Drosophila melanogaster: one gene and its partner. The protein of the gene in region 1 interacts with the protein of each later gene in a pairwise test. Each region holds a gene or a part of one and is shown on either strand. Other genes may lie near its edges.

Region 1 (3,921 bases):
TATTTACCTATGTAAATGCAAATGAATTATTTCGATTTGCTTTGCTTTCAGCTTATTATTGTTTTTATTAAGCGAGTGAAGAGCGCATCTCGGACTGGAAATCGAATTGAGAAACGCCGATGGCCTCGATAAACTCAGCGGAATTTCCCATTAACGGGAATCCACATCTTCTTTAATCCAACTAACGATTAACCACTCTTATGAGTAATAATAAAATGTCGCATTAGTCGGAATAAAAATTCATTTCAAGTAAAGATAATTAACTTGCTTTTAGATTTATTCCTAAAGCGGATCCTAATGATTTTTTCTATATCTAGTATATAATGGTGAAACTAAGCAGTAATACTAATTTCAGCACAAGAAAATCAAATTGTTTGTATTTTATGCAATACAAACAAATCTCTTAAGATTTGTTTAGTTCTGAAATGATGATTCATGTTTAAAATTTCTCGCACTTTCGAGAGCAAACCTACAATTATAAAAAGAAAAATAATATGAACGCAAATTTTACATTATTTATGCTTTCAATTATAAAACAATAAATATTAAAAAAAATCATATATAGTTGAAACATTCTAACGTGACTCTCCTAACAAAACATACTGTTGCAAAACCTGTTCTAAGCTAAACTACTTAAAAACCTTTTAAAACTTGTAGGCAATTAGCAAAAGTTGAACAGTCTGGGCAAAAATTAAACTTTTAAATAAATCGAAAGGCCAATAAATTATAAAACCCATGGCAAAAACTTATTTTTAATGGGAGAGAGGGAAATACAAACAAATAAAGCATAATTGGGAGGGGCAACAAGAACAACAACAATAAGAAACGGGCATTAGAAAGATGAGCACGAAGAAGAAGATGCGATTAGAAGGCACGGGAGCGCAAAGAATAGAAAAATTAAAAGTAATCTAAACAGCAACCTGTGCAGCGTGCCCGAGCGAGACAGCTGCTCAAACCGGTATCGCAACAACAATTGAACCGCAAAGAAAACGCGAAGAAGACACACACACGGACTATAAGAAAATAATGTTAGCCACTAAAACAAAAACAGAACGAAGCGAAAACACAAAGATAATGATTGACAAAGGCAACAATGTACAACTGCAAGCAGGACAGAGTGAGAAGGAGAGAGCGGTAAAAAAGAGACGAATCTGCGGCACAAAAGAGAAGACGAGAACATGCAACAAGCTGCAATTGCCCAAAATAACAACAACAAACCAGACCGCACGGCTATTTTTGTCATTAGATTAAATATTTCACATATTTTTGCACAGTTTCACCCACATGCGCCAAACCCAAATTATTTATAAACAATGTAAGTGCAAGCTCACCTGATAACTGCAAAATAGGCGCCTGTAACTTTTGATAATATGGAAAATCTCAATTTAAATTTGTTGTTGGCTGTTGCTTTGCTTGTTGTTGCTGCCGCTGCTGTTGTTGTTGTTGTTGAATTTCACGCGAAAGCAGGCAAGACAACAACATAAAATCACAAACACTTGCACGCACATACGTCACACACACCCGCACACACACTTGGACAGCTGAGACATAAACACACGGAGAGCAAATCGCAGCGAGAATGGGAGAGAGAAAGAGACAGAGAGCGATAACAAATTTGTTTTCTGGTTTTTCTTCACGATTTTATTACACGCTTTTCGAATGGCTAACCATATTTTGATTCACATTTAATTCGCTCCAATCACAGTGTGTTCCGTGCGCTTGCTAATTTTCGATTTTCCACCGCAGAACTCCGCCCGTTTTGCTGCTGTTTTGGCAATCGTCTCTCTCCTGGCTAAAAACATATGATTTCGGTTGACGGAATCACGATAAAAACACATAAATGCGAACAGGGCGCGCGCAACAACTTCCCACGACAAACTCTCGCTTCGGAATTTGGAACGAAACTGCCACTTTTGCAGCGAATCGCGCTTAAATACCCGTCTAAAGATGGGAACGCATGGCGAACCGGTTCGATAGTTCGTGAGCGAACAGCCTTCGCACAGTGGTATGCAATCAAACTGAGCAGTAGATTAAGTACTTTTGTTTAACAAACCGGATAGCTCGAACTTTGAAAATAAGTTTTGGATCGGCAGGAATTAAGACTGTGCACAATTAATGCTTTTAATGGTGACTCAACACTTTGTGACGTCAGTAGTAGCATAAGTTCAAAATAATTAATTTGAGTATAGCTTTTGTTTAATGTATTGTATAGAATAACTAGTAATACTGCTTTTTTGACTGCGATAAACATTTACGTAATAAAAACTGCATATATTTGCTTTGTGACAACCCTATTTTATTTTGCGTGCGTCACCTTACATTTTGCTACCTTGCTGCATCAGCTGTTTGTGTTGTGCGGCGAAGAATGGATTTGACGCTGGACAAAAAGCTGCAGGGATTCCAGTTGGTGGCACAAGAAAAGGTATAATAATGAATCGGAAGAGTGAAACTATTAACTACCTGCAATTCGACTGCAGCTTTGTTCCATACTATGTAGCATACCTGGAAAGAAGGAGTTAATTTTGGAGCCCGACTTGATAAAGCCACTGGAACATGTTGTCACTGCCTCCTGGCTGAAGTAGGTGTTTAATCCATATTTTATGGATATTTACGTCTTATATATACCCCTTAACAGGTTGAAGGGCATACAACGGATCTACAAACATGATGCGGCACAATCTTTGCCCCGATCCGCCGATCAGGTGCACATCTACATGATCCGCAGTGTTTTGGGTACATTTCAGACACTTCTCAAGCAATTGCAACCCGTGGCCTCAGAGGAAATGCCCGACATCTCCATGAAAATGTATCACATAGTCTGTGTGCCCAGTTGTTACTCCTATTTTCAAACCCTGCTGGAACAGGCTGGTTTGTACGGACTGGTGCAACTTCATCACTTTAACTGGGACTTCATCTATTTTGATCAGGGAGTTCTCAGCTTGGAGCTGCCCAATGTGAGTAGATGTACATTGAACATTCAGAAAAGAGTCTTTTATACTGGATATTCTTATTATTCAGCTTTACGAGTGTCTCTACCTGCAGAAGAACACATCTCCATTGCCTGCGGTGGCCCAGAGCCTGCGATTGCTTCAGATGATTTGCGGACAACCGTCTTTGATTCTGAGCTTTGGCCACCACTCGTCGCAGCTAATGCAAATGGCGAAGACTCTTGGCAAACTTCCGGCGCCCACAAATCCTCCAGACTATGGCGGCTGGCTGGTCATCGATCGGGATAAGGATTACCCCGCCAGCTTGCTCACTCCGGCCATCTATGCAGGTCTTCTCTTGGAAGTTTTCGAGCATAGTTCTGGCGAGATTCTGGTAGACAATTCCAAGAACAAGATCCGCAGCCAGCGTGTGGAGTTACTCCAGGGAAAGAAATCCAAGATAGGCGTAAACTCAGCCAGCAAGCCGTGTTCCATTCGTCTTAACTCCACATCCGATGAGATCTACGGCGATAATCGGTACAAACGATTTGCTCAGGTCAGCAGTTTGATTCACGCACAAGTAAAAGCCCTGGGCTTGGAACTGCAGAAACTCAATGACATGCAGCTGGACGAGATGCATGACTATGTGGCCAGGAAGCTACCCAAACTAACCGAGCTTAAGAGCAAAGTCCTTAGGCATCTGAATGCCAGCGAGATTGTGATCCAAATGATGGGTAACTTCAGGAAGCTCCAAACGCTGGAGGAGGACATACTAAACAATGATTCAAGAAAGCGATTGCTAAGCGAGATCGACGAGCTGTTGACCACAGATGGTCAGAGATTTAATACACTGCGACTGCTGTGCCTCTTGCATCATTGCGTTGGCGTGGCGCCCGAGGAGCTGCAGATATTTGCGCGGAACTACTGCAATCTGTTTGGACACCAGGAATTGGGCGTGTTCCAGCAGTTGTCGCAGGCGGGCTTGTTGCCACCA
Region 2 (3,921 bases), 2.4 Mb from region 1:
CGGAGTGAGGAGAGCCCACACTACTGCGCAGATTCATGGTGTCGTTGATTAAAGTGGGATCTATTGACCGCAATGCATGCTCACAATTAAAGCTTTTGCTCATCGCTGAATTCTCGCCGTAGAGCTTAAGGGAGTCGTGAATGCGAGAGGGATCAATTGGTTGATTACGCTTAAGGGTGCCCTCATTGGGCTCCGTAAAGGAGTTGGCCCCATTTACATAGTCCTGGTGGACACTACGCTTAAAGTCCTCGAAATCAATAGGCTTCAGGGTAGCGTCATCGCAAGTCTCGAAGTTATCCAGAGAGGTCTCAGTAGTAGACACCGTTGTTGTATTCTGCGTATTGGTGTTGGCAGTCAACGATCCCGTGGCGGTCATAAAATCATCCGTGCTGCTGGTGTTTGTTGATGCCGATTGAGTCGAGCTTGATTCAGTGGTCGTAGTGGTCTCTGTGGATGTTTTGCTGGGCGAACTGTCGCTGGAGGATTGCGACGACGGCAGTTTGACAGGCATAGTTTCATAAATGCGATCCTTGTCGTTGTGACGTCTCTCTACCTGCAGCAGATCGTCTATGTCGTCCCAATCCAGTTTTTCCAGACGGTCCAACTTCGAAGGCAATGTGCTGGACACACAACTTGTGCTGGCAGTAGGAGCCTCCACCAGGGTTCCAGATGAGTCCGTCGTGGTCGTATCCTCGTCGTCGTTGCACACATTACCATTGGTCTGCTCTTTGCTGTTGGCTGTGGTGTTGGCCGAGGCATCTTCTGGGGTTGTGGGCAACTCGGAGATCTCGTTCAGGCTACAGGAGTCGAAGGTCATGCTCTCGGAAAGGGAAACATCCGTGGATAGTTGATCGACCTCGGCTGTGGTGGTGGTGGGCGGAGCCAGCGATTCGCTAGCTTCGTTTTCCTTATCCGAACTGCTTTCCTGTGGGTACAATTGTATAAATAACGTTTTGTTATGTTATAGATTCAGCTTACATTGGCAGCCTTGGACACACGGCAAGAGTTCCTTTTGCGCACTAAGATGCGCTGATCATCGTCCTCCTTGAGATGAATCACTCCCTGCACGCCCCAGTAAACTCTAAGCGCGCCTTCCAGCACCAACCGGTTGTTGACCTCACGACTACGTATCTCCAGGCTTTTGTTGTCGTAGAATTGGTTGTAGACCTGCCCATTAAAAGGGAATTTGGTGAGTCATGAGATATTGATATGTCTGGGTATTGCGTTCTGCACCTTAAGTTTGGACTCCAGGTGATCACGTGGGAGTGGCGGGCCATTGGCCTGAGCTCCGGTTGGCTTCTGGGCTCCCTTCACCCCATAGCTTTTGTGCGATTCCACCCGGGTGCCGTGGCCAAACAACTGGGGTCCAAACAGGGCGCCATAGCAGGGCACATGGCAGTAGGGCACACTTTTGTGCTGAAAGGAAAACAAAAGGCTTTATATAGATCACATGATCGGCTAACTAACAGGTGATCCTCCTACCTCAGCATGCTGGCCGGGATTTAAGCGTTTGCCGCATTCCTCGCAGCGCAAACATTCCGGATGCCAATCGTAGCCGATCGATTGTTTACGTTCCGCTGTGCGGGGCATAAATAAATATAATTTACAAGTTATTTACGGATCGCAATGCGCTCGTGTGTGGGTGCATTACCGAAGTAAACGGGTTTGCCGCACTTGTGGCACTTCCACATTCTGGATTCCAAACAGGTCGGTCTAATGCTTCCTCCGGGAATGGGCGTGTTTCACTCCTCCTCCTCTACTTCGCCGATTTTAAAGAGTTGTGACGTAAAGCCGTCGAGTTGTATGCAAATGAGGCGATTTAAAGCGGACACGAAACGCAAATAGAACGCTGGACAAGGGGTAAACACATGAGGCGAGGGGGGACGTGAGACTCTGATCGGTCAGTCGGTCAGCTGCGCTGGTTGCCGTGCGAAACTCATAGTTTTATAAATGAAACTGGCACTGGGCACTCCCACACTTGGTGCACGGTGCAGGTGCATCGGTTTTCGGTGCGTACTTGTGTGGATAATTGCACTTAAACCAAAACAGCACCAGCAGAAAGAGAACAGAACAATGAAATGAAAAATGGCACTTGTGCAGCACTGGCCGCGGATTCTTGTCGCACAAGGCGGGCACCCTAAAATCCAGCGGTGCTGTCAGCTGATCTGTTTTGTAGCTAGATTTGACTTGGCTGGCGGTAGCTTGAAACGGATTTGCTTGTTTTGGTGTTTAAAATTGTCATCGTTTGTACTTTAAATACATCTACATTGATTATGGCTAGAACCCAAATCTTTTTTGGGCTGTATCTTCTTTTAGGGAATTTAAGTTCCTAATTAGCTTCTTCTTAGCTACAAAAGTTTCCAACACTGATAAACCGTGCTGACAATGTCAATGTGCGTTGTTTTATGCCTTTGAATTGAAATCTTCGTAACTAATCGAGTTTTAAAACGAAAATCAGCACAAGGAAAACACTAAGCATTCAATACATTTAAAATTTTAAAAGATATGAGCAAAAGCAAATAAGCCCGCCAAAGTGTGTGACCATTCGCGCTGCTAGATTTGTTTTCGCTGCGAGTGCGGGCACACCGATCTGCTCTAGTAGAAAGTGAGACGTTTTAATTTGTTGTCTCTGCGCGCTGTGTAAATTTGGTAAATTCGGCCCCGAATCGCGTAAATTGGCGAGTTTCGCTAATTAGGGCCAGTGCTCAACGTGTGTAGCCGTCGATTGCCAAGGATGCGACTAATCACCATATCTCCTGCTGCCCGCAATTAGCTTCTCCCAGAGCCGCCCTCGAAAATCGCGCATCGAAATCCCCACTTCAGCAAGGAAAGCAAAGCAAAGCAGAGCAGCAGCAACAGGCCAACAAAGATTCACGGGCCTCAATTAGCGTAGCGAAATAGCCAGCAGTGCAGTCTAGGTGCTGCTTGCGTGGTGGCCAAAATGCGCGCCACCATCGAGTTCGAGGAGTGCCTGAAGGATTCTCCCAGATTCAGGTGCATATAAGCTGCAGCCCCGCCCCCACTGTGTGCCCATCCTGAGCCGCATTTGGCGTGAGATTCGAATTGCTCCATGTAGCGTGACTGGTTACTATCCAAAACCAGATACAGCCCAACACCGCCCCACCTGCTCCACCTGAAAACGCGGCTTAATCATCCATCGAACAAACTTTGTCCCGTCAGCAGTGTGGAATGTGCCTGCCTGCCCCTTTATTTCCGCAATTAAATTGCCGATGCTCTCGTCTCCGTCCGCGAACGCTTCAATGCCCGCCGCTGATTGATAAGATTTCACCCAAATTGCCGCTTCTCCACTAATCGTGTCCAAAGACAAAAGCTTTCCCTCGTAAAACGGTGCACAAACGCGGCGATAACTTGTTTGCCCAGCAGCCCCATCACATCTTCCCCACTTTTTCGCACCTGCAGCAGCTTCACTTGAAAGAAAACAGGAAATCAAGACTATCTTGGATTCTCCTGCACTTCGGTTCTTTTATCATTTGTGGAAGTGCCAACTTGACCTTGGTGTTTCGAAACCGAAGTACACTACAATAAATTATGTGAATCATATGTGAACTTTTCTGCCATGCATATAAAAAATAAGAAATCTAAGGATCTGTAAAGTAGGACATTTCTATTGCTTCAGAACTAGGCAGATATTATCGCAACCATAGTAAAATGTATCAATGTTATGCATTTTTTTAAACTAGCTTAAACTAGTTTCCAGTTTTAAGTAGAATTAAACGATTTATTTTTTATCAAAAACTTCAACTCATTGTGCATTTGGCTCAATCGTTTGAATGACGAACACATATTTGAAGATATATGAAGCTTTCGAAAGCCATTAGTTTAAAATGAAAACTGTGTATGATAGCAATATTATCACGGAATACGACTTTTCAAAGCCACTCTCAGAATGAATTGACTGCT

The links.
Region 2: the proteins of Fur1 (region 1) and Rassf interact in a two-hybrid assay, tested with the Drosophila melanogaster proteins (one large-scale study listed by BioGRID).

The regions. Positions count from the first base shown.
Region 1 is NT_033777.3:25,471,151-25,475,071, forward strand, and holds the start of Fur1 (furin 1), read right to left. Parts: upstream 1,909-3,921; 5' UTR 1,332-1,908; intron 1-1,331. Other genes in the region: Vps33B (vacuolar protein sorting 33B), read left to right, coding at 2,366-2,422, 2,478-2,578, 2,636-2,954, 3,019-3,921. UniProt on the Drosophila melanogaster protein: Furin is likely to represent the ubiquitous endoprotease activity within constitutive secretory pathways and capable of cleavage at the RX(K/R)R consensus motif.
Region 2 is NT_033777.3:23,115,848-23,119,768, forward strand, and holds the start of Rassf (Ras association family member), read right to left. Parts: upstream 2,085-3,921; 5' UTR 1,692-2,084; coding exon 1,652-1,691; intron 1,578-1,651; coding exon 1,483-1,577; intron 1,417-1,482; coding exon 1,234-1,416; intron 1,168-1,233; coding exon 979-1,167; intron 926-978; coding exon 1-925. Other genes in the region: CenB1A (centaurin beta 1A), read left to right, coding at 2,942-2,994.